Linked DNA regions of Cricetulus griseus. The main gene of each other region encodes a partner of the protein of the gene in region 3 in a complex. Links are inferred from orthologs where the notes say so. Each region holds a gene or a part of one and is shown on either strand. Other genes may lie near its edges.

Region 1 (4,145 bases), about 140 Mb from region 3:
GCTTCAGCAGGAGTTGTGATGTGTCTCCTCTGAACAGCTGATAGAAGAAAAGGAGAGAGCATTTTACATTCTGCATTCCATGTCCTCTAGTCAAAGACCCTAGCTAGCTCTCACTGCCACCCTCCACCCCTTCAGTCTCAGCAGCAGCCTCCATAAAGGACAGTTACTCCAGAGGAGCAGCTACACTGACTGCAACTCCAAGATTAACATAAAAGGAAAGCAATTACAGATCCATTCTCTTTTATTTAACCTGTTGTGGGAGAGAAAACCTTCTTATGGCAATCCTGAAAATATTTGGCCACAATTATCATTGATCAAAATTAACCAAGATTAATTTTCTCCATTACATCCAATGCACTATTTACTTCTGAAAACGTCTTTAATTTAAATGCTTAGAATGCATAGAATTTAAATGCTTAGCCCAATTACCTGTAATTCTGCATGCTGAAATCCAAACAAAAGCCACAATAAATCCTTAACAGAAAGCCTTGCAATGCAGCACTGTACTTCAGCCCCTGTACAACAGAACTAAGGCACAGCACAGAGGGAGGGGATAAAGGAGTAGGAGGGGAAGCAGGAGGAAGGGGCTTGGGAAAAGGAAGAAAGGGGGAAGGGAAGAAAAACACTTGTGCTCACACACATTCTAGAATCTTGGGCATTTGAATTCATCGCCAGAGAGAAGCTCTGAGTTTTTACACTGCACTGTGGGCACTGACGTGGGTTGCCAGCAGTGCAGCATCTGAAAGCTGTCTCTTGTCTGTCTAGAATCCCCCTCTTAGGCAAATGAGTAGAATCCAGACTGCCAGTAAGAAAAATGGGCAGTAACTACAGGGGTGGGTGGGTGGTGAGGGACTGAAAGGAGGGGGATGGAAAAAGAGGGAGGAGTCAGGAGTTGGGCTGAAGGCCACTACCAGAGGAGTGAGGGGGAAAGTCCTATTTTTGTTACCACTTTCCCAAGAACAAAGAACGGTATCAAAGAAAGGAAGTGTGTTAACAGTACATGACAATGGAGGAATTCTAATTCAGCTACATAAAAAGTTATAGCTGGAAGACTTGAATATTCAGCCTCAATTTTCTTTTACCAGTTATTGGATATTGGCCAATATGATGAAAGGATGCTGTGATGCTGTTTCATCTCTCCCCACCCAAGTGATAGCAAACGTGACAGCATGCAGATATTCAGGTACAAGTATCGTATCTTACAATGCAATCTAACACTACGCAAATTGAAATCATATAGCATTTTTTTTTTCAGATAACTAGGAATTGGGTGCCATGGGAATGGTATAATTCTGCCTGAATAAAGCCCCATATCCCCAGAAGAGTAAAAGTAAACCAATGATGGCCTCTGTAATAATCCCAGGAGATATACACATCTGAACAGAGCACTATGTGATCCAACTTGTATTCTGATTTATTTTATACAGGCTTTCTTATTGTGGGCAAGAGGATGCCTACAATCACAATTCAGTGAAGTCTAAACACTGTTTAGCTGAGGAAAGCAAGGACCTAAAACATGCTGAAGCACAAGACTAACAACAGTATACGACAGGCCTCAGCAAAAAACAGCAGCATCTTTCTATATTTAAACCACTGTCACTCAAAGATTATTTGAGGTACTGACTCCGGTTTCTACTTCTCAAGGTCCCTTTCCACACTCATCCACCAGCACATGGTATGCTGGGCTCTGAGCTTTCTTATACAGTATAGCAGTCTCCTGAGTTGCAATTTTACAGTCCATTATCTATGCTCAGCTGTAGTCTGAAAGCACTGAATGGAAAATCCTGCAGTTTAAGACAGCCCACATTCACATAACTTATCACAACATACTGTCACAGCTATTTTGTTGTTATCTATTATTTTTAACCTCTTACTATGCCTACTTTGTAAGTTATACTTTATTGACAGTATGGAAAGGATAAAACAGTTACAAGTCTGGCACTATCTGATGCTTTAAGCAACCACTGGAGAGCTTGGAACATGTCCCCAGTAAATAAGAGAGACTCCTTTGCTACTATTCTCAGTATAAGCCACAATTATCGTTTGCCATATTTCACTGGAACAAAAACAACATTCTAAAACTAACATGATAAATAAGTTAATAACAGTGACTGGGCAGCTGCTTACACTTAATGTGACTATGAATCGTGCTGAATACTTTCATTTATTAATCCTGTCAACACTAACAATCATACTAGCAAGGTTCTATTTATGCCTGGGGATAGTAAATTGCCCAACAACAGCTAGAAAACAGTGGTGCTAGGATTTGAAGCAAGACAACCTGCCTCTTGTCAGACACATGAAATCATACATACTGTTTCTTTACTTTATTTCATTTCTTTTTTCGGGGGGGGGGGTTTCGACAGAGTTTCTCTCTGTAACTTTGGAGCCTATCCTGGCACTCGCTCTGGAGACCAGGCTGGCCTGGAACTCACAGAGATACGCCTGCCTCTGCCTCCCAAGTGCTGGGAAACACAGTTAAACACTGGAGCATCTGCCTTGTATGTATGGTCAGTACTGGAAATACAAAATAGTATAAAATAAACAAGAAATAAAATGATTCCAGCTTTTTTTCCCTGTTAACACAAAACCATTAATGTCACTTTCTAAGATTTGGCCCTTTCAGGCTTCTGGCCTTACCTCAGCCTCCTCACCTCTGCACAGTGAGTGCTTCTCCCCAATATTGCAGCACTATACCTTGTGCCCAAATACCAACCTCCAGGATGACTTCAGAAGACAAGTCCTCTGGGCTGTGGTGGCACTCATCTTTAATCCCAGCACTTGGGAAGCAGAGGCAGGTGAATCTCTGTCAGTTCGAGGCCAGCCTGGTCTACATAGTCAATTCCAGGACAGCCAGGGATACATAGAGAAACCCTGTCTCAAAAAACAAAATAGACAGACAGACAGAAAGAAGACATGACTTTTAAAAGGGTTGGATGAGAAACCTTTTGTTTGTTTTTGGTTTTCCTAGACATGGTTTCTCTGTGTATCTCTGATGCTCTTAGAACTTGTTCTGTAGACCAGAATGGCCTCCAATTCAGAGAGATCCACCTGCCTCTGCCTCCTGAGTGCTGGGATCAAAGGTGTGTGCCACCACCACCTGGCTAAATAAGAAACATTTAATGTCATCTGAATACAGTGGTTATGTATTTTCTTCTAAACTCTCATGAAATTTTGTTTATTGTTAACTGCCTAAGTGTCTCAGGACTGGTACAAAGAAACAATTCTCCTTTGAATAAATAACATAAGCCAAATACAACAAAAATTCTGTTTTTAGGTTAGAAGAGCTTTCAAATAGAGTTGTAATGATAACTGCTGGTATACCCACAATACAGGCCTGGTAGGAGTTCCTATTCTTACAGTTCAGGACCTACAAGCAAACTCAGGACTTTCATTAGCTTAATGTTTCAGAGCACTTCAGATTTTCTTATCATGGTGGTTTAACTGATAGTCTATGCAAACCAAACTAAGGCAAAACAAAACAACAGCACCACAACCAAATAGAAAACCCTGACTCTGCAACAGTTCTGATCCCAAGCTTTTAGATAAGGATGTTCAATCCATACCCAACTAAATGATATAAAATTTCTGTGGGTTAAAAAAAAGAAAAAGTCCCAAATAATAACAATTTCAAAACAGTCAAAACAATATATTCACATTCTTGGAATTCAAGAAAACTTAGAACTCCCTAGACAGATTTGATATGCAGGAACTCAATGGAATGGAAGTATTTTCACAAAGATATGCAGAGTCTTTATTTTCACAAGTAATTTAAAGAGGCAGACCTACGGCAGCAACTGCTATAGGATAGTTTGTGTGTATGTGTCACCTGTATTTCATTGGTATACTTTTTAGTGTACAAAATAATGGGTTTCATAATATTCTATTATATCATTATAATAGTGTATCATTATACTTTGTGTTCAAATTCCCTCCCACTCTTCTCTCTTACCCAGTACGAATGGCCCTCTTCCTTTCCCAAAATACTTTTAAAGGCAACTCGCACCGTAATATATTTCTATTAAGAAAAATTAGTTTTTATTTTTATGTATATGTGTGTGTATTTGGATAAGTTTATGTACACTACATGGACATCTAGTACCCTGGAACTGGAATTACAGTTAGTAAGAACCTCTGTTGTATAT
Region 2 (3,146 bases), on a different chromosome or scaffold from region 3:
TTTAATACATCCTAGGAGATCTTCAGATTTATGAACAGACAGTGGAATGTACATCTTAGTTATTTTTAATTGGCTGCCTTTCTTTAATTTGATTATGAAGATGTAACTGTTATTAAGTAAATCCAAATCTTCAGTGATTGAAACTTGAAACTAATTCTGTAAAATCTATTTGAGAAATACCTTAATTGCAAATCAATGTATATAATTTATAATATTTTCTGACTTCCTATTAAGGTATCTTATTAGAAACCACTATCCCTTCCCCTGTTTTCCTACGTATGTTGTATGTATGGCAAATTCCTTCTAATTTCTACACTAAATTCAGCCTTGTGATTAAATTGCAGAATGAATAAATTACTGTTGTCAACTCACAGAAGGTCCTCTAATGGCAGGGACAATTCTTTCACATGTAAGTCTTTAATACTGCACTTACCATAGTTAAACCTACATAACAATAATGTCAAATTACTACATCTGTTCTGTGCCAAATACCAGGTTAAACTCATCACGTATATCTTAACTCAAATAACTGACCTTAAAAGCCAATGTACTTATTGCCTATGATTGGTTCACTATTTTCATAAATATAATCACCAACTCTTTTACAAAACAATAAAATATATAATGGTTACATGTGTTGCATTAGAAAAATAACTTAGACCTAGATGAATCTCTTTGGAAAATCTTGCCAAAGACAATCATCTTCAATGCTCTTCTGAACCAGGGATAGAAAAAGGCATAAACCACTGGGTTGAAGGCAGAATTCAGGTACCCAAACCAACTCAGTGCATCAATCAAAGTGAGCGGGATAGCATAGCCCAGGAAAGGGTCCAGGACCATGCAGAAAAAGAAAGGGGACCAACATATGAGGAAAACACCCATCACAATGCCTAAGGTCTTCGCAGCTTTTGTTTCTTTGCTTTGTGGCATTCCGTGTTTCTCTTCCAATCCAATTTGAAGACTTGTGCCATGAATTGACCTGGCTTGTCCTTTAGCTATGAAATATATTCTATAGTAAACAAACAACATGACAGATCCAGGTATATAGAAAACAGTCATGAAGACCAATACCCCAGACACTTTGCTAAAGAAGGTAGAACAGCCACCCAGGCAGCCAGCCTGTTTGTGATACAGCTCTTCAACTCCTCTGATGTTCAGCTCCAGGAAGATCATTCCAAATGCAAAAATAGCTGGAACACTCCAGCTAATGAGGATCATCACCAAAATAGTCAAGATACTCATCTTGGCTTTGTATCTCAATGGGTCAAACACAGCATAGTAGCGGTCAATGGAAATGAAGGATAAGTGGAAAATGGATGCCGAGCTCAGCATAATATCAGTGCTGGTATGAACTTTACAGAAAATTTCTCCGAAATACCAACAGTGCTCAACTGTCCTCACCATGCTGTAAGGCATCACCAGGCAACCCAGCAGAAAGTCCACAGTGGCCATGGAGTGAAGGAGCCAATTTGTGGGTGTATGAAGTTGCTTGAAATGGGATATAGAAATTATTACTATTAAATTACCAACCAGAGTGGCCAGAATTATAAGTGACATTAAGCTATAGAGGGAAGCACTAACGTCCCTTGACCAGTTGCTGTTCATGTGGGAAATGTTAATATCGTGGCAACGACGCATCACTACAGAGAACTACACAGTGGCTGGTTTTTCTCTTAGGCTGTTGAGCAATCTTCCTCCAGAATCCATAGGCAGGTTAGAGTTCCATCTCCTTTCATTTCTTATGGGTACATACTTGTCCTGGAAACCTGGGAGGAGCAAAAAGAAGAAGAGAAATGATTAAGTGATCAGCAACTAACTTAATCCTTTTATACCGTATTTCCACACTCTTGCTGAAGAATATCTGCTTGGAAAGTTTTATTTCCAATGTTAGTTTAATAAGTCAATTCAAAACATGTTTAATATCCAGTTGGAGATGGACATTGTGCTAAAATATAAAACTTGAAATGAAATAAAATCGGCACATAAAACCTCCATGTCTAAAAGCCCAAGAAAACCAGATGATGATTATTTTGGGTCAATCAGTGGAAACAGTCCTTGTCTGAAGAAAGACAGAGTTTGAAGACTTACACTGTACAGGTCACATTTAAATTGTCAGGGATTTAAAATAGCCTGTGAGTACACCCCATGAGACATTTTCCATCTATACTCTATCAATGTCATTCTTAGTCAACTTACTACTAGATTGCCGAACTCAAGGGTAAGTCTTTGGTATCCTAGTCACCTCTTCCAATAATCATTTTTTATGGCTCCTGAGTCACCATCCCTTACAAGTTTTGCTCCTTTCTGTCACTGTTACTTGTCCTTCTCCTCTCACATACCCCTGTTCCCTTCTACAACTTCTCTCCAGTTTCTGATGGTCTTGGGGTCTTAAACTAATCTACAAGCCAACAAATCTTAGTGCATGCACCCTGATCTTCCCTCACAACTCTAGCTTAGTATTTCCTGCCTGCTAGAAGATGTCATCTCTTAGCATGTCTAGGTCAAGCTCTCTGTCCTTTTTACATAATTTGCCTAAATCTTTCTCATTCTCTACCCTATACATCTTCAAAATAAGAGGTCCACCTCAAGAGTACACAGATAAATGGATAAAGGTGCTTGTCATGCTAGCCTGATGATTGGAGTTTGATTCCAGGAGCCATGTGGTAAAAGGAGAGAAAGACTCCCAAAGATATCTTCTTAACTGTACATACTTGCCATCGTACACACACAAATAATAATAATAATAATAATAATAATAATAATAGTAATAATAATAATAATGATAATAGTCAATCCAAAATCTTGATGCAATTCTTGTTTTCTTAGACCAAACATACTTACCTGATAAAATTTATCTTGGCTCTCCATGGAAAATATGTCTACATCTTAGACCACTTTTTCATTTCTACTGGTTCAAGTATCTAAAGTTGCAAACAGCTACCTGATAAAAAATTATCTTAGATCTCCATGGAAAATACATATAGACTTAGACAACTTTTTATTTCCACTGGTAGCCATTCTTGTCCAAGCCATCATCTGCTGGACTATGCTAATGACAATTTTCCAGCTATTTTTTCTGGTGTCCATACAAGGGTGATTCCCAACCAAGAAAACAACATTATTATGGAAGAACACGTATTTTGAAT
Region 3 (4,464 bases):
GCCATGGCGCAATTCTACAAGACTACCCATTTCAGAGTGAAAGTACACAATCGGCGGGTACATTGAAGGTGCCAGGGATATGAAACTGGGACACACTGAGCATGTCATGCACAGGCGAACACAGAAAATGGACACCAACACACACCAACAACAAGCTGTCTGAGTCGAAGCAGCCGTGCCAGGCGAGGCGGGGGCGCGCACCCCGATGGCCCTAGCCCACCGCGGTCACGAACAATTAAGCCGGGGGAGCCCCGAAGGGCCCTCCCCAGCAGTTCTGGGCTCACCTCACGCCCCCGCCTGTCCAGCCTACGATCGCTGGCGCTGGCGCTGGCCTCCGGCCGGTAACGACCCTCAGTGTCGCTCGGCACCACTTTTCTCCCTGGAGGGTATATACTTCGGCCACCCGAACCCTCAAAAAATCCCCTCTCCCACCCCCAGGGCAGAGTTGGGGTCCCTCCGTGGAACTTCTATCAGGGTTTCCAGACCCCCTCCTCCCGTGGTCAAGGCCCAAGCCCCACCGGAAGGCCCTACCACCTCCTCCCCGGGTGCCCAGGGCGGCCCTACTGCCCAGGGGCAGAAGATGCCGCATTACCTAGAAGCAGCAGGCGGTGTGTGCACATGTAATCCATCTTCTCCTCCTCCAGTTGCTTGTCGATGGCCTTGCTGCGTTTCTTATCTGCGCGTTTCTGCTCTCGCATCTCAATGGCCTCTTTGCGCATCTGTTTGCGCCTCTCTTCAAAAGGATCCTTGGCCTTCCCGGGGCTGAGGGAACGGGCTCTCTCGGGGGCTCCGAAGCAGCTTCCAAAGGTTCTGGTGAAGAAGTTGCGGATTGGGTTGCATCCGACCGTGTGGCTCCGGGTCTGGCCGGGGCGGCGGTTTCGTCGCAGAAGGTACTGGAAGCAGCCGTTGGCCCCTTCTTCCGACTCATCGCTGGAGGAGTCAATCTCGCAGATGACGGATGATACCTCCTCGTACCTGCAGCAGCTTCGGCCACGTTCATACTTGTCTGGCCAGGCGCTCGGCCTCGGAGCAGGCCGCGGAGTAGGCGGGTCAGCAACCTGGATCTCGGGGCTGGGGGGTCTAAGATGGGCCCTGCTCGGGGCGGGAGGGTATGCCCGGGAGGCAGACATTGACCGGGCGACAGAGATTGGGTGGCCCGCAGCGACTGCCCGGGCAGCAGAGGCTGCCCGGGCGGCGGCAGCTGCACGGGCCGGGAGGCATGCCCGGGCGGCAGGAGTAGCCGAGAGTGACCTGGCTCCCCAGACCAGAGGACCTGCATAGGCTGCCCTAGCGGCAGTTGCCCGAGCGGAGGCTGGCATCGCTGGGGCGCCAGGGACTGCCCCGGCAGCCGGATGGGCTCTGGCAGTGGGGATTGGCCGGGGAGCGGGCTCCGGAGGGGTGACAGGGGCTGCCCGGGCGGCAGGCTCTGCCTTAGCAGAGACTTCCGCCGCTGCGGGCTCCACCTGGGTGACGGGGGCTGCCCCGGAGGCAGGCTCGGCCTTGGCGGCAGGGACTGCCTCGGAGGCTGGCTCCTCCGCGGCGGCTGGATCTCCTCCACCTTCAGACTCGGCAGGGGTGGCTGCTGCTGCGATGACCGGGGCTGCTCCTCCGTCAGGCTCCGCGCGGACAGCTGGGGTGGCTCCGACTTCTTCGGGATCGGTTTGGAGATCCGCGGGTGTTGCTGGGGCTGGAGGAGAGCCGCCGCTGGCAGCCGCGGAGGCGGCATCTTGTTCGGTAGCGACGGTCTGGGCAGCTGAGGCTGGCTTGTCATCCATGGCTTCTGGCTGGGTGAAGGATCCGTCTCTTCTCTCCGGAGAAGGGACTTTTCCTTCCACCGCAGCAGCGGTGGTTGGGCTTCCTTCCATGTCGGCTGCTTCTCGCTCAACTGGGGGTCTCTCTGCGCCGCGCTCGCTCTTATCTTGTGCTCCGGAGACTTCGATGGGCGGGCCAACACTTGCGATTGGGGGGCCGTCCATATTGACAGTTGTGTCGTCGCCGACCCTAGAGGAGGCTCTGCCAATCTCCAGCGGGGGTCTGGAGATCTCCATTGGGGGACTGTCGCAGGCGAAGTTAGCGGGAGCTCTGATAGCCTCGCTGAACGGTCTGTCAATGGCGCTGTGGACCCAGAGGGGAGGCGCGTTCTCGGCGGGAGCGAGACTGAGCGCACTCGGGACCGCGGCTGTCGGGAACTCGCCGCCAAAGCCGACTTGTCGGGTGACTCGGGGGAGGCCCGGGGGTGGGCTATCGCCCCCAAATTCTTCTCCATCGGGCCCAAACGGCACAGACTCTTCAGGTGGAGGGCTGTAGTCATCTCGCAAGCTAGCGATTGCAAATCTGATGTTCCCGGGCTCCGCGGGAAGTGCTCTGAGGACCTCTGCCTCCGGACCTCCTGGCGCAAGGTCTGGGACTGGCAAGGGCGACTGGCTATGGGCTTCCTGGGCAGGCTCGTTGAACTCAAATGGCATAGCTTCTTCTGGTGGGGGGCTGTAGGTTCCCTGGGCGGGGCTCGCACCACTGGGGGTCCCGGGCTCCAAAAGCGCTGGATTGAAGGTTTTGAGACCTGCTTGGGCCCCAGATCTTCCAGGCTGCTCCAGGGTGGGCCAGAAACCTCCGGGGCTGGGCTGTTTCGTCTCAAATGGCATGGATTCCTCTGGTGGGGGGCTATAGTCTCCACCCACTCCGACTTCCTCGACCGCCTGGTGGACGCCCTGAAAGTCGGTTCCGGAGACCCCCTGGGGTCCATAGCCCTCAGCGCCGTTCTCGGCGGGGATGGGCTCATTGGCAGACGGTTCGGCCTCCATTTCTTCGGCTGGGCCAAGCCCAGCACCGGGGGCAACTGCCCCTGGGGCCTCCAAAGGTTCTTGCTCGGGCTGCTCCCCGACTTCACCGGGGATATCGTGTTGTCCTGGCATATTGTTGCCGTGGACGCGGCTGCGCATGCCCATAACACGGTTGCGGTTTTTTAAAATAAATTTGGGGCCCCGTAAGACGGAGCACCCAGCCAAACTAGGGTCAAAAAATTTTTTCTTTTAAAATATTCGAGTATTGGCTGGAAAGTTCTCCAGCCTCAGTTTCCAATCTTTGTAAGGATAGATTCTGAGAGGCTAAAACTCAAGATCGTGGCTGAAGTACCTCATTTCTTGCTGGGAAGACCCGGAGCCTCCGGAGCCACACTTCTGCCTTCAAGTTGCGGTCGGCCAGCCACTCCCACGACTTTTCTGGACTCTCTTCTTACTTTGCTAACTTTGGCCCCGCCTTCTTGGCATCTAAGAGCGTGCCGATTCGTCTCGAAAATCGTTAGTAAAACTCTTTCTCTGCCGCCAGAGGACGCCGGTCTCAGTGCTAAGCCGGCTCCGGGAGCTGGCTCCCGGTGCCGGCAGTTCCCGACTTTGGGTATGGGGGCTGATGAGCGCAGGCCTCGCAGGGAGGTTCGCCTCCTTCCTCTCCTCTCCCAGACTGCTTCTGAGTCTGAGCTCCTCGCTTTTCCCCTGGCCAGAGAGAGAGAGCGCGCTCTCCTGCGTTGCTGGGCCACGTGACGTAAGACGTGGGCATTGGTCTGACAGAGTACAGGCGCTGAAACCCTCCCGCCCCATCAGATTCTTCCCGAGGGGAGGAGGGACTGCAGGAGGACTTTGTCACCCCAGATTACCCCAGTCTGCGGCAAACACCTTATCCGAGGACCCCAGCCTCGGGCAATTACCCGTTCTCAGCTCTGAGTTGGGGAAATGAGCCTTTAGGATGCCCGGGAAGGGGTAGAGGAGCGATCATAAAAATGCGACAGGTGGTCGTGAGCCCACCGGAAAGGCGGAGAGGGGATGAAGGGCGATGAGTTGTCAAATATGAACACGCAGTTTGTTTTTTAAATGCTCCGGGGTAATTTTATTATTTTTTTTTAAATGTTTTTGTTTGCTGTTTGTCAAGGATAGCTTCGGTAAATCCCCCTTCAATATGCCCCTTCCCCATTACACTTCCGGTGGGGGGGCTCTCAGCAATAGCCTAGCGTGACGCATCAGGCTTCGGCTTGTTTATGTGGATGGTGACGCAGTAGAAATAAGGGTCTCGGCGGTACACTGCGGCAAAATCGAGCAAAGACCCCTACGCGGTTACCGCTGCGGCGCCGGCGGCGCAGATAGGGGAGGGGGCGCGGGGCTTACCGGAAGACCCCCACCTAGCACGGGCTTCTGCCTTCTCAGGAAGGGGGAATGGAGACTGGGTGGGATACGTGGGATCGTGACCCATTTAGAGTGGTCTTAAAAACTAGAGGACCCGATAAGCACTAACCCACCGACCCACCGTGCCGCGGCAGTAACGGCGACCGAGACTCGCGGCTTCCGGCTCCGGGAGCCTGCCGACGATTCGCGTTCAGTTCGTCTAACCCCTCGCTAATCCCTTAGCAGACCCCTGCCAGTCCCCCTCCTCATGCTGTGAGCACCAGAGAGCAGACGCTGTACTTGGAACTGCAAC
Region 4 (4,186 bases), on a different chromosome or scaffold from region 3:
CCCAAATCCCAAACCAACCTAAAACCAATACCAAATAACAAGAAGAAGTAAATTTAACCAAGTAAGCTATTATGACATTCCAAATAATCCCAGAATTAGTTTGCTGTTTAATTTTGGCTACTAAAGTTGTTCTGAGGTGAAATTCACACAGCATAGACTTGACCACCTTGAAGCAAAGAGTTTCCCGGCCTTCAGAGCTGTGTGATTATGTGAGTACCTCTGTGAATTCTCCTCCCCACTCTAGCTAAGATGTTAAAGCCCAGCAGATGCACATGGATGGGCCCCAGGAGTTAACAAGCTTTCAACAATGCTTCATTATCTAACCAAGATCCTTCCCATTTTTCTTAAGGCTTTAGAATATGTTCAGGGGACTTGAACACAAATGACATCCTTAGTTACTAATCTGGGGGCATGAGAGTCATCGATTCATCATCATTGTGTCATCTGTTGGATCTTGAACACTCAATTGGGAAAAAGAAAGGCTTTTCAATGCTTTCTGGCCTGCGAAGATTTCCCTAGCCCTCGTCAGTGCTCTCTGTTTAACACAGCTTGCGTCAGAATCAAACACACACACACTCCTCACCCTCTTCTTCTTCTCAGTTGGTTCTCAGAATGGGCAAGGGACAAGGTAGTGTGACAGACAGAGAGGACCAGGGACATGTTTCTGTCCAGGGTTAGGAGAACCTCAGTAGCTGGCAAGCTGAGGCATGAACTCACCACTGTGGTGCCTGCTAATCTAGGTTCAAACCCCAGCCCCCATGCTTCCCCTGGCACGTGCTTGGCAAGATAGGGAAGAATTGATGATAGCTATTTACCAGGTGGACAAGAAATAAGATCATGGAAGTGAAAGTGCTCAGCAAAATACCTGGTGCATAAAAAAGTACTAAGAAAGTAGCTTTGTGGGTTTTGCTACAACCATCATTATGTTTGGCAGCGAGCTATAGGGCTCATCCAATCAGGATCTACTTCATAATCCATGCTCCTTAGGAACATATTCAGCTTCTTATTACACAAACACACACACACACACACACACACACACACACACACACACACACACACACACACACACTCCACAGACCCCTGGCCTAAGATGCCCCCAGGCTTTGAGAGAACAATCTGGGAAGTGAATCCTGAAAGGAGTAGCTAGACAGAGATGGAATGGTTTAAAACAGCCTCCATTTCTCACAGAACAAGAAACACAACAACAAAGAGCCCTGATCCTATGCACCTACTCCATTCCAAGAAACCCTGTCCCAACTTGGGGGTTAATTGGCATACAATCATCTGCCAGCAGAAAAGTATGGAGTGACTTGAAGTCACCTATGAGTTCTTGTCCTTATTCAAAGAGGAAACTCCACTGAGTTCCCACTGTGTTTTTGTCTCAACTTCTGACACACACTCCCTTGCAAGTAGAAGGGCTGACTTGCTGTAAAGAGAGCACCCATGTCCTACATGGGCCCAGCCAGCCAGATGCTTGGTATTTGGGAACCCAGGAGGGTCCCTCTGCTGTGACTGTCAAGCAGCTGGCAAAAGCGGGGGCTAAACAGGGCTGAGTGAGAAGAGCCCCATCAACAGCCACCTGCAGCGACTCACCCATGAAGTAGGTGGTGGTCTTGCACATAGCACTTCCAAAGATGAAATCCTTGAGCAGATTGGGGATGAGGTTGAATGGCATGCAGAAGAGACAGAGCATGAGGTCACTGACAGCCAAGGATAGCAGGAAGATGTTGGTGACAGTCCGCATCCTCTTGTTTCGAATCAGCACCGTGATGACCAGCGTGTTCCCCAGCACACTGAGGAGGAATATGAAGGAGTAGAGGAGAATCTGCACTGCAGGCTGCCACTCTGCAGAGGAATGGGGAAGAGTTGCAGGGAGGTGGGTTAGGAGGGTGGAATGTGAAAACCTTAGCCCCCCAAGGAGTGGTCATTTCTGATGATGTCCCCTGCTGGCATGCATCACTGAACCCGAGTATCCCTGTGCTGCCTGCATCACACAGACACAAGCCCAGGGAAGCACAGGGCAATCCAATTGCTTTTTTAAAGGTTGGTGTGTGTCAACAGATCACTGGGGAAAGCAGTTTTTTCCTAAGGACAGTGCTCCTGAATGGTGACGGCTTCCTTTCCCTGAGGCTAAGCATTATTTTATTTTGCTTTAATCACTTCTTCATGCTGGGTTTCTCCTAAGAAAAGGTAACCTCTACCCCTGACAATGCTTTTTCAGTAATGTGTGTAGTCCCGGCTTCTACACTTGGCACCCCTTTCTGCCCTCAGCTCTTCTATGCTTTTGTCATCTCCCCCGAATCCTTCATGAGTTCCCAACTCTCCCATGGGAACAATAAGAATATTTGACTGTAGATTTCTCTTACTCGTTTATCCAAACTTCTGAACATACAACTTCATTTAGCTTTGTCTCACAGGGATTTTGTACACACACACACACACACACACACACACACACACACACACACACACACACACACACTGTACATACATTTTAGTCAACCTTGCTGTTGCTATCATCTCCCTTAACTGGGTGGTTTTCTGAACTCCAGTCACAGCCTCTAACACCTACCTTTTGAAGGCTGAGGTCGATCCAGGCAGAAAAGAGTCTCATTTTCCAGGCCGAGTTCACAGGGGGGAGTAATGTTGCTCCCATTCATGAGAAGGCTGTCGACCACGTCCATCCTGCTGCTCTCTACCAAGTGCTGGCGAGCTGGTGAATGGCTCACTCCTGACTCGTTCCTCTAATGACCGGAGAGTCTCCTAAATGCAACCTGCCGTGGAGGGGCAGGGAGGGGGTATTTCCAGGTGTGGGCTTTGCAGCCATTCCTAAAGGCAACTTGAGTTCACCATTCTCAGACCAGCTGGGCAAGCACTTGCACTCCTGTGGGGAGAAGCAGCCTGTGCAAGTCAAGCCTGCTCCACCTTCCAGGCCCACCCCTCCCATTCCTGGGCCGGTCTGAGGCCCTGAGCACAGGCAGCTTGGCTGCATATTAACCCTTCCCAGAGTGGGGCCACATCTACACACACACACACACACACACACACACACACACACACACACACACACGGGTGGAGAGAGAGAAAGAGAGAGACTTCCCAATTACCACCTCTCTTCTCTGCCTGTCAGTGTCCCAGACATATTCAGAGTGAAGCCTGAAATGTCTGTGTGAGACAGCATCAATTAACATGGTAACAGATCCGATAATGCAGACCATTGGGACTAAGGGACACAGAGAGACTGCATTCCTATCTCCTTATATAAAAGCAATTAGTGCCTTTTAGCTTTGGAGCCTTGCCCAGTAATGTGTATGGAGAGAACTTCTGGGTGGTTGTTAAGGTGTTACCAAGCACAGTGCTCGGTCTTGTGGTCTCTGCCCTTGTTAACCAGAAGCAGGGGACTCTTCTGAATGCAGATTCCTAGGTCCTTTATTTTATTTTATTTATTTATTTTGTATTTTTTTAATTAGAAAGAAGATTATTTTACATGTTAATCCCAGGTCCTTCTCCCTCCCATCCTCCCTCCCCCACCCCACCTAATACCCTACCTTTTCTGCTCTCCTAGATCCTTATTACTATAGAAATCAGCAAGAATTCTCATTCACTTGTTTATTTTTTATTGTTTTGCTTTGTCTCTCCACCCCAGACCTGTTCACTGAGAGTCAACCATTTGCTGAGTACTTCTCAAGCCCATCAGGAAAGAAGAGCACCTCAGATGCTGTTAAGTTGGAGAGGGGAAAAGTGGGAAGGGATTTAGGCCTCCCTGGTGGGGGTGGGGGTTACTAGTGGTGCAAAGCCTGAGATGTAAATGCGAAAGCCTCCAAACAGGGGACAGAATACTTTCTGCAGAGGCCACAACCAGTGCAAAGGGCCTGAGGCAGGAAGGGGCTTGGCCTATTTGAAGGACAGAAGAAGGAATAAGTGAAGGGTATGTTGGGAGATGGCTAGTGTGTGAGAGGCCTGTTTAGGGGCTTGGCTTTTTCAGGAAGTTGGACAATACTTAAAAGCCCCTCACTGTTCACTGCACTGGTCTTAGTTTGAACATCTAAGAAACAGGCAATATTAGGATCTGTGTTTCTTTCTTGCTTTATTTTTTTTAAAAAATAAATTTATTTATGTATTTATTTTTATATCCTGGCTGCGGTTTCCTCTCTCCACTCTCCTCCTAGTCCCTCCCCACCAT
Region 5 (2,949 bases), on a different chromosome or scaffold from region 3:
AGACACTGCAAAGTCATTCTCAGGGGCAGAAACTGCTGAGAGTAGAGAAGAATAAAGGAGTTTGTGGTTTGGTTGTTGGTAACTTATTACTGAGTTCGTGTTACTGAAAACAAGTCTTTCCAAACATAATTATGTAAACTGTTTTGGTCATATGAAAAAGCTCACATCCTGTTAGATACATACAAAATGGAAGATCCACCTTTACTAGAAAAAAAAAAAAAAGTCCAGAAAAGGTAATCCCTTCTCCAGTTTCCTTAAAAAAAAACCTCAATTTATTTTCAGGTCTAGGTTAAAAATCCTAGGACTGGTGCATCATTTCATGACCACATGGGGTCCCACTACAACCTCCAAACAAAGAAAAATAAACCTATTAAATAAAATATTTTTAAAATAATAGTAAACCTAACTTCTGAAGCAAACAACATAACGCCGAACAGAGAAGTCGTTTTGTTTTTCTTTTTTGTTTTTAACACTGGTGACATGGTTTCTACTGTCGTTGCTTATCTGACTGATGTCATTGCTTCTGTTTGTGAGAATCCATCGCAAAGGACCGAAGGGGAGGAAAGTACTGGCCATCCTGGGCAGCAGGGTGCTTGGTGGAGGCAGTGTCCTGCAGGTGGAGGAAGGTTGCTACACATCGCTGGGAGATCGTGCTCTCTGGGACAGCGTGGAAGGGATACACCCACAACAAATGAGGCAGAGGGCTTTCTGGATCTCTTGGTTTCTGAAAGCATATATGACAGGGTTGATGATGGAATTGTAGGTGGCGGGCAGGAGGGTGGCGTAGGTATAGATGGAGGGGTAGGTGTAATCGGCGATTAAGGAATAGAGCGTGAAAGGCATCCAGCACGCAGCAAAGGTCCCCAGGATGAGAGCCAGGGTTGAGACCCCTTTCCGGGTAGTCACATAGTGCGACGTGGCCAGGAAGTGGTGCTGCAGGGCTATCTGATGGGCATGCCTCATCACAATCTTACAGATCTGGATGTAGAGCTGAAGCATCAGTGCAAACATGAAGAGGAAGGAGATGGACAGGATGGCAGCATTGTTCTTAGTGAGAGGTCTAACCACGCTGCAGGTGGACTCATCCCTCAAGCAGTTCCAGCCCATGACAGGCAGCAGCCCCAAGCAGATGGACGTTCCCCAGAGTATAACCAGCATGGCATAGGTAAACGTGACGGTCCTCTCAGAGTGGTATGTCAGGGCATAATACAGTGAGAGATAGCGGTCCACAGTGATGGCCAGCAAACTGCAGACAGAGGCAGAGAAAGAGGCGACAATGAGTCCAATTGTGACCAGCTTGGTGGCTTCTGACTGCAGCAGGTATGCAAAAACAAAATTGATGATGAGTCCCAGGCCAGCCAGCAAGTCTGCAAGAGCCAGGCTGCCTATCAGCAAGAACATGGGTGCTCGAAGGCTGGGGCTGTGGAAGATGATAAGGACCACAATGGCATTTTCACAGCAGATGAGGGTTCCTGAGCTGCACAAGACAATGTCCCAGGGGTTGACAACAAGCTCAGGTTCTGACTCTGCCACAGGGTCCTGGGAGGGGGCAGCGGCTGAGATGTTTTCCGGAGCACTGGCATCTATACAATCCCGAGGCAGTCCGCTTAAATTGACCTTCAGGTCTTCGTTCATTTTAACCCCTGTCCTCTTCAACGGAAAGATAGGCTTTTTAATGTTTGGGTACAGTAGGGTGTCAATCCAAGATCATGCAAAACACACAGAGACAGACAGACAGCCCTGGACTCAGACACCAGTGTCAAAAAATGCCGCGAGCTTCAGGAATTAGAAACAAAAGCTGAAGTCTGCATAGATTAAACCCCACAACTGAAATGCCGTTTGTCACCGAGGGAAACACAGGACAGGACTCCCGAGGCGGCACAAGCGCGCTCGCCAAAGAGCTGGGAACCGACTTTGGCTAATTGCATCTTGCATGCCAAAAAGCAACAACTGTTTGACATCTGGACAGCCGAGAGCACCGCCCAGCAGCTACAAGTCTGCAGAAGGGTGGAATATTTTAAGGGCCCAGAACTCCCACGCCCCAAAAAATCCCCCACGCGCGTGCACACCCCCAAACACACCTCCGGACCCAAACAAAGAGGCGGGGGGAGGGGGGGTTGTCCCAGCCTCATCCCGTGTGCACGGATCAAAGAGCAAGGGCCACAAAAGGTAGGTGTGTACCACCGAGGTGCCCAGACAGACAGACAGAAAGATGTGCATGCATTTGGCCGCTCCCCTAGCTGTGGGGACGCGCAGCCTGCGGGGCAGGGGGGTCATCGGGGGTCACCTTGGCACGCCCAGACCGAGGGGGGTTCCTCCGGTGCTGCCGAAGAGCGCGGGCCACCCGCGTGGCACGTCCGCGGTGGCGCCCGCGGCAGGTGAGCGGCGGCGCTCGCGCCCGGCTCTCCGCCCTGCACGCTCCCTGCCCGGCGCGCGCCCGCGGGAACCCCATGAGGCCGCGCGCGCCCCCACAGGTCGCAGCTGCGCGCGGGGCGGGACCGCCACGATGGACACCCGCTTGCAGCAGTCATGCCGAGACCCGCTCTGCACCCAGTCCTGGAGGAGAACCTGGCGTCCTACTTGGTTCCCGTGACTTCCCGGATGAGTCCTAGCCACTGGGGGTCTCGGCTTCTGTCATGCTTTTCCCTAAACGCCAGGTTCAGGACCAAAAGAATTGCAAACAGCGACTGGGTTTTCTGGATGTGCAGGAGGGATGCAGAAGCAGGTTGGGGCAGGGGAACCTTACAGTAACAAGCTGCAGCTGGCCACTCTGCAAACTCGATGTTATTGTTTCCCTGGGGGCATTCGCTTAACTGGGTGAAAGTCGCTGCTACTTGGATCGCCAATATCATCTCCCGGTTTACTTATTAAGTACTCCTGGAGCCGTTTGCGAGTGGAAATCATTTAGGGCGATCTTGCAAAAGCTTCCTGCAGGCACTGGCCCAAACC
Region 6 (4,489 bases), on a different chromosome or scaffold from region 3:
ATAAAAAAACCAGAGGCTGGTGTGTTCCTCCTGCAAACCCGAGCAATGCGGGCCTGGGGAGGAGGCTCTGGTTTCTATGATCTCTCTGATAAAAAATAAGCAAAAATAACAAAATACATTGTTTTTCTTTCTCCATCCCCACTCCGGGAACTGAGGTCAGAAATGGGGACAAGGGGGCTGGGGACAGACACCCTGGTACAGACTAGATTTCAAAGTGTGGGTCTCTTTTTTTTTCCCTTATCACCCTTAAGTAAATTTATAAATAAATACATAATAAATAAATAAATATACTTTCTTTGTATGTTCATATATAGAGTGAGAAATCTTTTCTGTAGGCAACTAAGTGATTAACCTCTCTGTACTCTGGACTTTCAAAATTCAAAACTAAAGTGACATGGTCAAGGTCAAGTTTCAGGGAAGGAAGATCAAGGACTTGGACTGGTGCTGTAAAATTCCCAGCATTCTGGAATTGCAAACCACTTGGAACCACCATCTGGAACATTCTAGAACCATGCAGCCAGCTGGGCTGGGCCCCTGAAAGAATCTTGAACAAGATCCTAAAACACCCAATGTCTTAGAACTCCAGAACCAGCTGGGTCTTAAGGGTGTGGAGCTGGGGGTTTGGAACTAAGCCCTGGTGGGCCTAACATTCTGAAATTCTGTAGTAGTCAAAGCCACACAACCACCAGGATGAAACTAGACATCACTAGGGGACCGGGACCGGAACGGGATCTTGGAAGTCGAGCAGCAGCAGCAAATGGCCCACAGCACCTTCTGCACGTCTTGGTTGCGGAAGGCGTAGATGACTGGGTTGATCATGGAGTTGTAGGTGGCAGGGAGCAGGGTGAGATAGGTGTAGAGATATGGAGAGTTGGCATCTCCCAGGAGGCAGTAGACAGTGAAGGGCAACCAGCAGGCAGCAAAGGCGCCAAGCACCACGGCCAATGTGGCGATGCCCTTGCGGGTGGCCACGTAGTGAGAGGCAGGCAGCAGGTGTCGTTGGAGGGCAATCTGCTGGGCATGGCGGCAGACAATGCGGCAGATCTGGGCATAGAGCTGCAGCATGATGCCAAACACCATGAAGAAGGCTACGGCCAGGACCACCAGATGGTTCTTGGAGAGGGGATATACCACACCACAGGTGGTCAGGCCATCCCGGCAGTTCCAGGCCAGCACAGGAACCAGCCCCAGACCCAGGGCCCCCACCCACACCAAGGCCAGCATCAGATAGGTCCGCGTTACTGTTGTCTCTGAGTAATAGGTGAGGGCGTTGTACAGGGAAAGGTAGCGGTCAACAGTGATGGCCAGCAGGCTGCCAATGCTGGCAGTAAAGGCCATTGCTAGCACACCAACCAGCACCAGGCTCATCTCTTGTGAGCCAATGCAGAAGACAGCCGCAAAGTACAGGACCAGGCCCAGGCCCGCCAGCAGGTCTGCTATGGCCAAGCTACCCACCAGCAGGAACATGGGGGCACGGAAGGCAGGAGTGCCCACGATGATGGCCACCACCAGTGCGTTCTCGCAGGACACCAGGGTGCCTGAGATGCACAACACCACATCCCAGGCCTTGGGAGAGGGCAGCAGTGTAGCTGGGCCTGTGGGTTCCTCTCCTGGGTCCACACCGCTCACATTGACGCTGCCTGAGCCAGCTGAGAGCCAGGCCATGGAGCTGCCTGTACCCCACAACATGGTACCTGTAGAAGAAAGGCCCTATGAGATACTGGCAGGCCCGTATTCTGACAGGAGGCCCTTGGGGGAGAGATACCTCTCAGGATAACAGGTAGGGCACCAATGCCCTGTCCCCCAATTCATGTCCTGAGGCTCTTGCCCCATGTTTTGTCCTCTGATACCTCCAGGCCTCTAAACAGGGGCCTCTTTTCCTGCCCATCTCTTCCCTGTGTCTCTTCACTCTCCTTTCCTTTCCTATTAGTCTTAAAGACCTCTTTGCCACGTGTGGTCAGAGAAGTGGATTAAGCTTACCATAAGTGAGTGGGGAACCACAGGATTCAAGGTGAGCCTTAAAAGGGCTCATGACTAGGGGAGGGAAACATGTCAAGAAGGAGGGCAGTCAGCTCCCTCCCATCAGAGAGGATGACTCGGTTCCTGAAGCTCCCAGACCCCTCACGATTCTCAGCACTGCGAGCCTCAGGCTCCGCCCCCGGGCAAAGCCGGTGCAGCTTTTTGCCAGCCCCCAATCGACATTCCTAGGGTAACACCTGGGAACTCATTTCCCCTGTACTCGCTTCCGGAATTCTGTCTCCGGACAGACCCCCTTTCTCCACCTAACCTCTGGGTCTCCGTAGCAGACACCCCCTGGTGGAAGCCTGGATTCCTGAGTCAGACCCCTCCTTCTGCTGGGACACCTGGGTCTTGGGCCTGACTCCGCCTCCTGCCTCGGATAACTGAATCCCTAAATAAGACACCTCCCGCTGCTCGGACGCCCAAGTGCCCGCCCCAGATGCCTCCTGCTCTTTCAACCTCAGATAACTGCTGGTCCCTCCAGGGCCTCGGGTCCCGCAGGAATGCTCGCCCTTTGCCGGGTCACCCCATCACACCGCTCGAGCATCCTGACGCTTGGGGAGCCGCGTGCTGATGCAGAATCTGCTCGTCCAGACTCCCAGCTACGACCTCCGGACCCCGAGCAGCGGCCCGCAGCCTTCCGCCGGCCCAGCGCCCCTGCACCCTACGTGTCCTCCCAGACCCTGGGTGGCCGCGGCAGGGCCCACTACTCACCGCTCAGGACCGGGCGCGGCCGGGCCGCGGGGAGCCTCCACTCAGGTCCTGGCAGAGCAAGGTGTGCGCGGACCCCAAGAAGCCCCCGCGGCCGCGGGAGACGCGGCGTGAGTCACCCCGCCCCGCCCCGCCCCCGGCCACCGGTTTGGTGACGTCAGAAGCCCAGTGGGCCAATGGGCGCGGCGCGCTGGAGCGCAGCGCGCGATGCGCGGCATAGTAATGAGGCCTCGCGCCGCCCGCTCCCCCATTCATAAAAAGTGACCGTGGCCGCGGCCCCGCCCCCTCCGGAGTCGGCCCGAGCTGTCCTTGACGCGGCGCCCTCTGCGGGTCGGGGGCTTTGGGGGCGCTAGTGGGAGAGCCTCAGAAAAGACTCAGGGAGGCCACAGAGGATGTAGGAAGAGGACAAGGGACCGGGATAGTCCGCGGGGGTGACGAGCACCCTCGGGTGTCAGAAATGAGCTGACACAAGACAGGTGATGGGGCTGAATGGGCGTCCCCGGTGAGGATGACAGGCTCTGCTTCTGATAGGGCCCTGGGGTGACAGTGACAGGAGCACGAGGGAGTAGGGAGGTGGGTGGCTGTGACGATGGGAGCGTGGTGGCAGGATCTTGGAGGACGGTGGCTGTGGGACGTTGACGGTGGGGGAAGGGGTAGGGCTCCTAGGGCAGCTAGAGCCCTGTCAGAGTGACTGCAGCATGATGAAGCTCGGGGACCCCAGGGTCTCAGAGGTGGTGACAAGGCTTTGGAGATGAGTATTCTGGTGAAGGAACTTGAGGTCACTGTGACCCTGTCAAGTGATAAAGGATGAAGGCGACAAAGCTAAGTGAGGACTGTGGGGTCCCGGGATGCAGATCAAATGACTTGTGGTGGGCCCCAGAGTGAGGGAACAGGGTGGGAGGTCTGACTGGACAGTGACCCAGCAGGTAAGTTGCTGCCAGGACAGGTCCCGTGATGCTGGGGTTGGGATAAGGAGCTGGGTGACGTCACTTATGTGGGTCCAATAGCGTCCTCGCAGCACGGGAGGGTGTGCCTGGCTAGATTTCAAAACCTGAATTATTTATTCAAGGATCTGGAAAGCCAGCGCAGGGAGGTTGAGGAGGTGGGGGGGGGTCACTTCCCCGAAGCAGCGGGAGATAGGGAGCCGGGAAGAACTTGGAAACAGAAGGACAGGGCAGCTCCATGCTCAGAGCAGCCTCACAGAGCTCCCAGCCTAGGTACCCCAGGGGTGGGGCAGGGGGAAAACTTCTTCCCCAACTATGCCTGCCCCATGCCTAGGGAAACGCCCCATCAGTGACTCTTGTGACCCCAGTACCAGTCCTGCCCCCTCTCTCTTTGATCCTCTCTGGAACACTCAAGACTGGAAGAGGGTGATAGGAGTCAGATTAGGGTATGAGGCTGAGGAAAGGAAGGCCAAGAGGCAGGCAATAACATCACACCCTTACAGAACCAGGGCTGAAGAGAAAGGCACATTTTGGGTCAAATGTGGTGAGTTCAGCTGGTAGGAATAGACAGACCAGCTTCGAACCCTAATCCCTCCATTTCCTAGCTGTGTGACTGAGAAGTGAGTCTCTCAGGCTCTCTGAGCCCATGTTTTTTCACTTCTAAACTAGTGACATTAGTGCCTACTAGGGACTGTTAGGAGGCCCTGGGCCCATTATCAACACAAGCTATGTATTGGCTGTCAGTGGCGTATTTGGCCAGTGGAGGACACCAGGGAAGCATAGATGGGCAATAAGAAAATGGAAACTGTTAAAAA
Region 7 (3,716 bases), on a different chromosome or scaffold from region 3:
ACACATACTTCTAATGCTTGTGTCTCAGTTACAAGGGGGCCCTTCCCAGCTGCAGAGAGAGAGAGAGAGAGGGAGAGAGAGAGAGAGAGAGAGAGAGAGAGAGAGAGAGAGAGAGAGAGAGAGAGAGAGAGAGAGACACTTACTGGCTGTCAGCTTAGGTTTAGTTTCAGTAAGAGACTCTGTCTCAAGGGAATAAGGTGGGGGATGACAGAGCAGGACACCTGCCATCTTCCTCTGGCTTCCAGTCGCACACACAGATGCCCACTCACACATACAAATTTTCACACACACAAGAAAAAAAACACATTACACATGAAATAAAAGTAATTTGTTTCCTTTGATCAAGAAAACCAACCCACTCTGTGCTCACACTGCTCACACTGTTGCAGAGCCCCAGTGAGCATTTCTTGGAGTGTGGTTAGCTTGCTGCAGACCCACCTGTAGGGAGAGACCCTGGATACCTGTAGCATTGACCACGCCTGTTTTGGCATGGTCACAGGTATTCAGAGAGGTAGGATAAAGAGAGAGGAGGCTCGGCTCTCTCTCTCTCTCTCTTTCTCTCTCTCTCTCTCTCTCTCTCTCTCTCTCTCTCTCTCTCTCTCTCTCGGTTCAGGTCAGATCTTAGAGGCATCTGAGACTGGGCTTCTTGGAGTGCCAATCTGGTTATCGGCTTCTCGTGTGAGTATCCCCTCTTAATAAATACCATTAAATAACCATATCCAGTGTTCGAGTCTGTTCCATATCACCCACCACTCCCTTTTGATGGTGGCTTGTAGTTTGGATGTGTGAGCATGGTGTCCTCACCTGTCATTGAGGCAGCAGTAGATGATGGGGTTGTACATGGTGGAACTCATGGCCAACCACATGATGGCCAGGTAGACCTGCTGGATGAACTTCTTGACGTAGAGATCTGGGTTGATGTAAGGCAGGAGGAAGAAGATATGGAAGGGCAGCCAGCAGATGGCAAAGGTACACACGACCACGATCATCATTTTCACCACCTGGGGAGAGGGCAAGGCAGGCAGGCCCATGAGCATGTCCTTCTGTGGGATGGCTTCTGTCCCCTCCCCATCACTGTGCAGCGTGGGTGGGAAGGGAGGTGTTTACAATGTTGTCTTCTAAGGCGGCTGGGAGACCTTTAACACTCGGGCTTAAGGATCCTGGTTACAGTTCTCTGCCTGTGACCCAGGACTACCATCATCGCTACCACGAGGGACTTGTTAGGAATCGCAGGTTATTGGACTTGTCTGTCCTAGCTATCTAGAATTATAACCTGAGAGTGGACCAGGAAACCTTCAGAGGACTCCGATGTGCTGTTATGTGACCTTGCTGGGCAATGTGTAGAGAAGCCAAGGGAGAGGCAGTGAGCAGAAGTGGATGGGGACTCAGGAGAAAAGCTCCAGGGAAGGCAGCAGAGCACTGGGCCAGGGGAGGGAGCTGCGGAAGGTGCTTGGTCTGGAGACATCGCACGCTGAGTTGGAGTTGCCAGTGGGATGTGATGTGTGACAATATTAGGACCCAGGCCTTTGGGAAGCAATTAGACACTGATAGCAAAGATTTATAGACAGGATTAAAGCCTTATGAAGAGGTCTGGGAGCTCTCTTGCCCTTCTACTGTGAGAGCACCCAGTGCAAAGGCAACTGTCATGAGCAGGAAGTACCTTCACCAGACAGGGACTCTGCATTGGTCCAGGTCTCCTGGACCCTAAAGCTGTGAAGACCAATTTCTCTTGTTTATAAATTTCCAGGTATAAGTGCTTTCTTTGTGTATGCATGTGTGTATGTGTATTACTTGTATGCATTTGTCTGAGTTGTATGTAGCTGTATGTGTATGTGTGTGTGTATATGAGTTGTGTGTGTATAAGGGTATGCATCGATACACATATGAGTGTGTGAACTTTTGCATATATGTATATTAGCACATGTGCTTGTGTATGTGTATATGAATATGTGCATATGTGTGTATGTATGTTAATGTGTTTATGAATGTCTGCACATGAAGGATTATGTGAATGTGCTTGAGTATATATATGGGTATATGTGTATTGTGTGTAAGTATGTGTGTGTATGAGTGTATTTGAGTACATGTATCTGTATATGTGTGTGAATTTTTGTGTTGGGTGTATTTATTGATGTATGCACATATGGGTATATGTGTATAAAGTTTGTGAGTGTATGTATATGTATGTGAGCATCTACACCTGTATGTGTACATAGGTTTGTGTGTATTTGTATATGAGTGTGTATGTACATTTATATGAGTATTTGTGTCTATGTGCTATGAGTCCTTATATATATATATGTGTGTACATGTGGGTATGTGTGTGTATTATATGTATATGTGTAAAGTAGGTTTTTTTATATGTACAAGCATGGGTATGACTGTTTATGTATATGAGTGTCTGTATGTGGATGTATACATGTATATGACTGCTGGCGTGTATGTGTATGAATGCATGTGTGTGGATGAGTATTTTGTATATGTGTGATTATGTGTACATATGAAAGTTTGCACATGTGTATGAATGTGTACATGTACTTGTGGGTATGAAGAAAGACCCTGCTTTCCTCTCCTGTTCCTGAGGTCCAGAGATGCCTTATGGTTTCTGCCTCTGGGGACTCCCTGCTCCCCCGCCACTGTCAGTGACAGGGTGGACTATGCCTGCTTGACCTTTGCTCACCTTGCGCTTGGCAGAGACTTGCTCGTGGTAACGGTTGGAGGAATCCCCAGGGATCTCGCTGGCCCACAGTGTGATCCCTACCACAGTGTATGCATAGCCAATCACCAGCAGGGGCAGGAAGTAGATCAGGATGGTCACACAGATGTGGTACCTGTGAGGCAGACAGAAGAGTCAGTTGTAGAAACAGCAGGCCATTAGTTTGTAGCTACCTTGCTCAGCCTTGGCCATCAGGCAGGGAGGAACGCCACCTACACAGAATGAATGGGTGATGATCCAGAGAGAACTACTCAATTTGATTTATATTCTTCTAGCAGACTTTCCCCATGTTTATAAATTTTCTTGTTTTTTGCAAGCAAATATCTGACATGGAGCAACTTATTGGAGGTAGTGTTTGTTTTGGTTTGCATTTTGAAGGGCTAACATCCATCATGGCAGGCAGACATGGCAGCAGGAGAGGCAGCTGGCCACACTTGCTGTCTCACGAAGCGGAGACACAAAGGAAGTGGGCCTGGACCGTAAAACTGGCTAGCTCTTAGATTCCCACTTTCCCCAGCAAGGCTACATTTCCTAAGTTCCATAGCCTTCATCTCTCCTTCACCAGCACTCCACTTGCTTCCACTCATTTCTGTGTAAATTTCAACAGCTCTGCCACATCTCCAGCCTTCTCGGAGTATGAAAATCAACAATTTGAAAATGCTTGAGGAGCCCCAAGTCAAGCAAGCTGAAAAATTGGTGAGGCAGAGTGGTAGCCCATTGATTGTGTGCAGGAGGGCTGATCCTGGCTTCTGGGTCTCTCAAGGTCCTCTGGGTAGTCACCTCCTCCTACAGCCACCACAGCGGTGGCTGTGTGTTGTGTGCCCAATTTGCTTTCAGTCCTTCCTTCAGGTTGCTGTGGTGACTGTGTTCACAACAAAGCATTGAAAGATGACACAGATGGACAGAACCAGAGAACACTTCAAGACTTCCCCATGGTCCCTTCCTGAAAGAACAGATCTGCCTCCTGTGGACTGATTAATAACTGCCCAAATGACCAAAC

What was found.
Region 1: the proteins of guanine nucleotide-binding protein G(s) subunit alpha isoforms XLas-like (region 3) and Gpr21 are in contact, whole or in part, in a cryo-EM structure (PDB 8HMV), measured with the Homo sapiens proteins. The link is inferred for Cricetulus griseus from reciprocal best matches to the Homo sapiens genes GNAS and GPR21. Residues at the interface, in NP_000507.1 of Homo sapiens: Gln35, Arg38, His41, Val217, Pro321, Asp323, Arg342, Asp343, Leu346, Arg347, Thr350, Tyr358, Cys359, Pro361, Phe376, Cys379, Arg380, Asp381, Ile383, Gln384, Arg385, His387, Leu388, Gln390, Tyr391, Glu392, Leu393, Leu394; in NP_005285.1 of Homo sapiens: His61, His62, Thr64, Arg127, Ala130, Ile131, Thr132, Pro134, Leu135, Thr136, Tyr137, Asn138, Thr142, Pro143, Ile214, Ile217, Cys218, His221, Thr222, Asp224, Ile225, Arg228, Gln229, Arg231, Phe232, Arg249, Tyr250, Val253, Leu254, Asn308.
Region 2: the proteins of guanine nucleotide-binding protein G(s) subunit alpha isoforms XLas-like (region 3) and Taar1 are in contact, whole or in part, in a cryo-EM structure (PDB 8W88), measured with the Homo sapiens proteins. The link is inferred for Cricetulus griseus from reciprocal best matches to the Homo sapiens genes GNAS and TAAR1. Residues at the interface, in NP_000507.1 of Homo sapiens: Gln35, Arg38, Ala39, His41, Asp215, Val217, Phe219, Thr350, Tyr358, Phe376, Cys379, Arg380, Asp381, Ile383, Gln384, Arg385, His387, Leu388, Gln390, Tyr391, Glu392, Leu393; in NP_612200.1 of Homo sapiens: Thr58, Asp120, Arg121, Ala124, Val125, Cys126, Pro128, Leu129, Arg130, Tyr131, Lys132, Ala133, Asn136, Ile213, Ile216, Ala217, Gln220, Leu223, Ile224, Asn228, Lys248, Ala249, Thr252, Phe307, Tyr308, Pro309, Trp310.
Region 4: the proteins of guanine nucleotide-binding protein G(s) subunit alpha isoforms XLas-like (region 3) and Cckar are in contact, whole or in part, in a cryo-EM structure (PDB 7XOV), measured with the Homo sapiens proteins. The link is inferred for Cricetulus griseus from reciprocal best matches to the Homo sapiens genes GNAS and CCKAR. Residues at the interface, in NP_000507.1 of Homo sapiens: Gln31, Gln35, Arg38, Ala39, His41, Asp215, Val217, Phe219, Asp354, Gly355, Tyr358, Phe376, Cys379, Arg380, Ile383, Gln384, Arg385, His387, Leu388, Gln390, Tyr391, Glu392, Leu393, Leu394; in NP_000721.1 of Homo sapiens: Thr76, Glu138, Arg139, Ala142, Ile143, Cys144, Pro146, Leu147, Gln148, Ser149, Arg150, Val151, Gln153, Thr154, Lys155, Glu235, Leu236, Ser301, Ala303, Asn304, Ala307, Lys308, Arg310, Val311, Met314, Phe372, Met373, Asn374, Lys375, Arg376.
Region 5: the proteins of guanine nucleotide-binding protein G(s) subunit alpha isoforms XLas-like (region 3) and Gpr12 are in contact, whole or in part, in a cryo-EM structure (PDB 7Y3G), measured with the Homo sapiens proteins. The link is inferred for Cricetulus griseus from reciprocal best matches to the Homo sapiens genes GNAS and GPR12. Residues at the interface, in NP_000507.1 of Homo sapiens: Gln35, Arg38, Ala39, His41, Val217, Asp323, Asp343, Leu346, Arg347, Thr350, Tyr358, Cys359, Pro361, Phe376, Cys379, Arg380, Asp381, Ile383, Gln384, Arg385, His387, Leu388, Gln390, Tyr391, Glu392, Leu393, Leu394; in NP_005279.1 of Homo sapiens: Met79, Arg138, Ser141, Leu142, Tyr143, Ala145, Leu146, Tyr148, His149, Ser150, Glu151, Ile220, Ile223, Val224, Arg226, His227, Ala228, Gln230, Ile231, Gln234, His235, Phe237, Lys248, Gly249, Thr252, Leu253, Ile300, Arg304.
Region 6: the proteins of guanine nucleotide-binding protein G(s) subunit alpha isoforms XLas-like (region 3) and Gpr3 are in contact, whole or in part, in a cryo-EM structure (PDB 9LYB), measured with the Homo sapiens proteins. The link is inferred for Cricetulus griseus from reciprocal best matches to the Homo sapiens genes GNAS and GPR3. Residues at the interface, in NP_000507.1 of Homo sapiens: Gln35, Arg38, Ala39, His41, Val217, Phe219, Asp323, Asp343, Leu346, Thr350, Tyr358, Cys359, Phe376, Cys379, Arg380, Asp381, Ile383, Gln384, Arg385, Met386, His387, Leu388, Gln390, Tyr391, Glu392, Leu393, Leu394; in NP_005272.1 of Homo sapiens: Met75, Arg134, Ser137, Leu138, Tyr139, Ala141, Leu142, Tyr144, Tyr145, Glu147, Ile216, Ile219, Val220, Arg222, His223, Gln226, Ile227, Leu229, Gln230, Arg231, His232, Lys244, Gly245, Thr248, Arg300.
Region 7: the proteins of guanine nucleotide-binding protein G(s) subunit alpha isoforms XLas-like (region 3) and Tacr1 are in contact, whole or in part, in a cryo-EM structure (PDB 7RMH), measured with the Homo sapiens proteins. The link is inferred for Cricetulus griseus from reciprocal best matches to the Homo sapiens genes GNAS and TACR1. Residues at the interface, in NP_000507.1 of Homo sapiens: Arg38, His41, Val217, Phe219, Tyr358, Phe376, Cys379, Arg380, Ile383, Gln384, Arg385, His387, Leu388, Gln390, Tyr391, Glu392, Leu393, Leu394; in NP_001049.1 of Homo sapiens: Met63, Thr67, Asn68, Asp129, Arg130, Ala133, Ile134, Ile135, Pro137, Leu138, Gln139, Pro140, Arg141, Leu223, Gln239, Ala242, Lys243, Val246, Met249, Leu308, Asn309, Phe312.

The regions. Positions count from the first base shown.
Region 1 is NC_048599.1:148,760,280-148,764,424, reverse strand, and holds the start of Gpr21 (probable G-protein coupled receptor 21), read right to left. Parts: upstream 2,848-4,145; 5' UTR 1-2,847. UniProt on the Homo sapiens protein: Orphan receptor.
Region 2 is NC_048595.1:243,172,580-243,175,725, reverse strand, and holds Taar1 (trace amine-associated receptor 1), read right to left. Parts: upstream 1,639-3,146; coding exon 643-1,638; downstream 1-642. UniProt on the Homo sapiens protein: Intracellular G-protein coupled receptor for trace amines, which recognizes endogenous amine-containing metabolites such as beta-phenylethylamine (beta-PEA), 3-iodothyronamine (T1AM), isoamylamine (IAA), cadaverine (CAD), cyclohexylamine (CHA), p-tyramine (p-TYR), trimethylamine (TMA), octopamine and tryptamine.
Region 3 is NC_048599.1:4,771,461-4,775,924, forward strand, and holds guanine nucleotide-binding protein G(s) subunit alpha isoforms XLas-like, read right to left. Parts: upstream 2,946-4,464; coding exon 593-2,945; intron 380-592; coding exon 105-379; downstream 1-104. UniProt on the Homo sapiens protein: Guanine nucleotide-binding proteins (G proteins) function as transducers in numerous signaling pathways controlled by G protein-coupled receptors (GPCRs).
Region 4 is NW_023276807.1:121,968,265-121,972,450, forward strand, and holds the start of Cckar (cholecystokinin receptor type A), read right to left. Parts: upstream 2,959-4,186; 5' UTR 2,688-2,958; coding exon 2,576-2,687; intron 1,849-2,575; coding exon 1,597-1,848; intron 1-1,596. UniProt on the Homo sapiens protein: Receptor for cholecystokinin. Mediates pancreatic growth and enzyme secretion, smooth muscle contraction of the gall bladder and stomach. Has a 1000-fold higher affinity for CCK rather than for gastrin.
Region 5 is NC_048597.1:82,425,060-82,428,008, forward strand, and holds Gpr12 (G-protein coupled receptor 12), read right to left. Parts: upstream 1,636-2,949; coding exon 631-1,635; downstream 1-630. UniProt on the Homo sapiens protein: Promotes neurite outgrowth and blocks myelin inhibition in neurons. Receptor with constitutive G(s) signaling activity that stimulates cyclic AMP production.
Region 6 is NC_048595.1:20,064,506-20,068,994, reverse strand, and holds the start of Gpr3 (G-protein coupled receptor 3), read right to left. Parts: upstream 2,864-4,489; 5' UTR 2,734-2,863; intron 1,695-2,733; 5' UTR 1,690-1,694; coding exon 697-1,689; 3' UTR 1-696. UniProt on the Homo sapiens protein: Constitutively active G-protein coupled receptor that maintains high 3'-5'-cyclic adenosine monophosphate (cAMP) levels that a plays a role in serveral processes including meiotic arrest in oocytes or neuronal development via activation of numerous intracellular signaling pathways.
Region 7 is NC_048601.1:73,759,136-73,762,851, reverse strand, and holds part of Tacr1 (substance-P receptor), read right to left. Parts: intron 2,832-3,716; coding exon 2,681-2,831; intron 1,002-2,680; coding exon 805-1,001; intron 1-804. UniProt on the Homo sapiens protein: This is a receptor for the tachykinin neuropeptide substance P. It is probably associated with G proteins that activate a phosphatidylinositol-calcium second messenger system.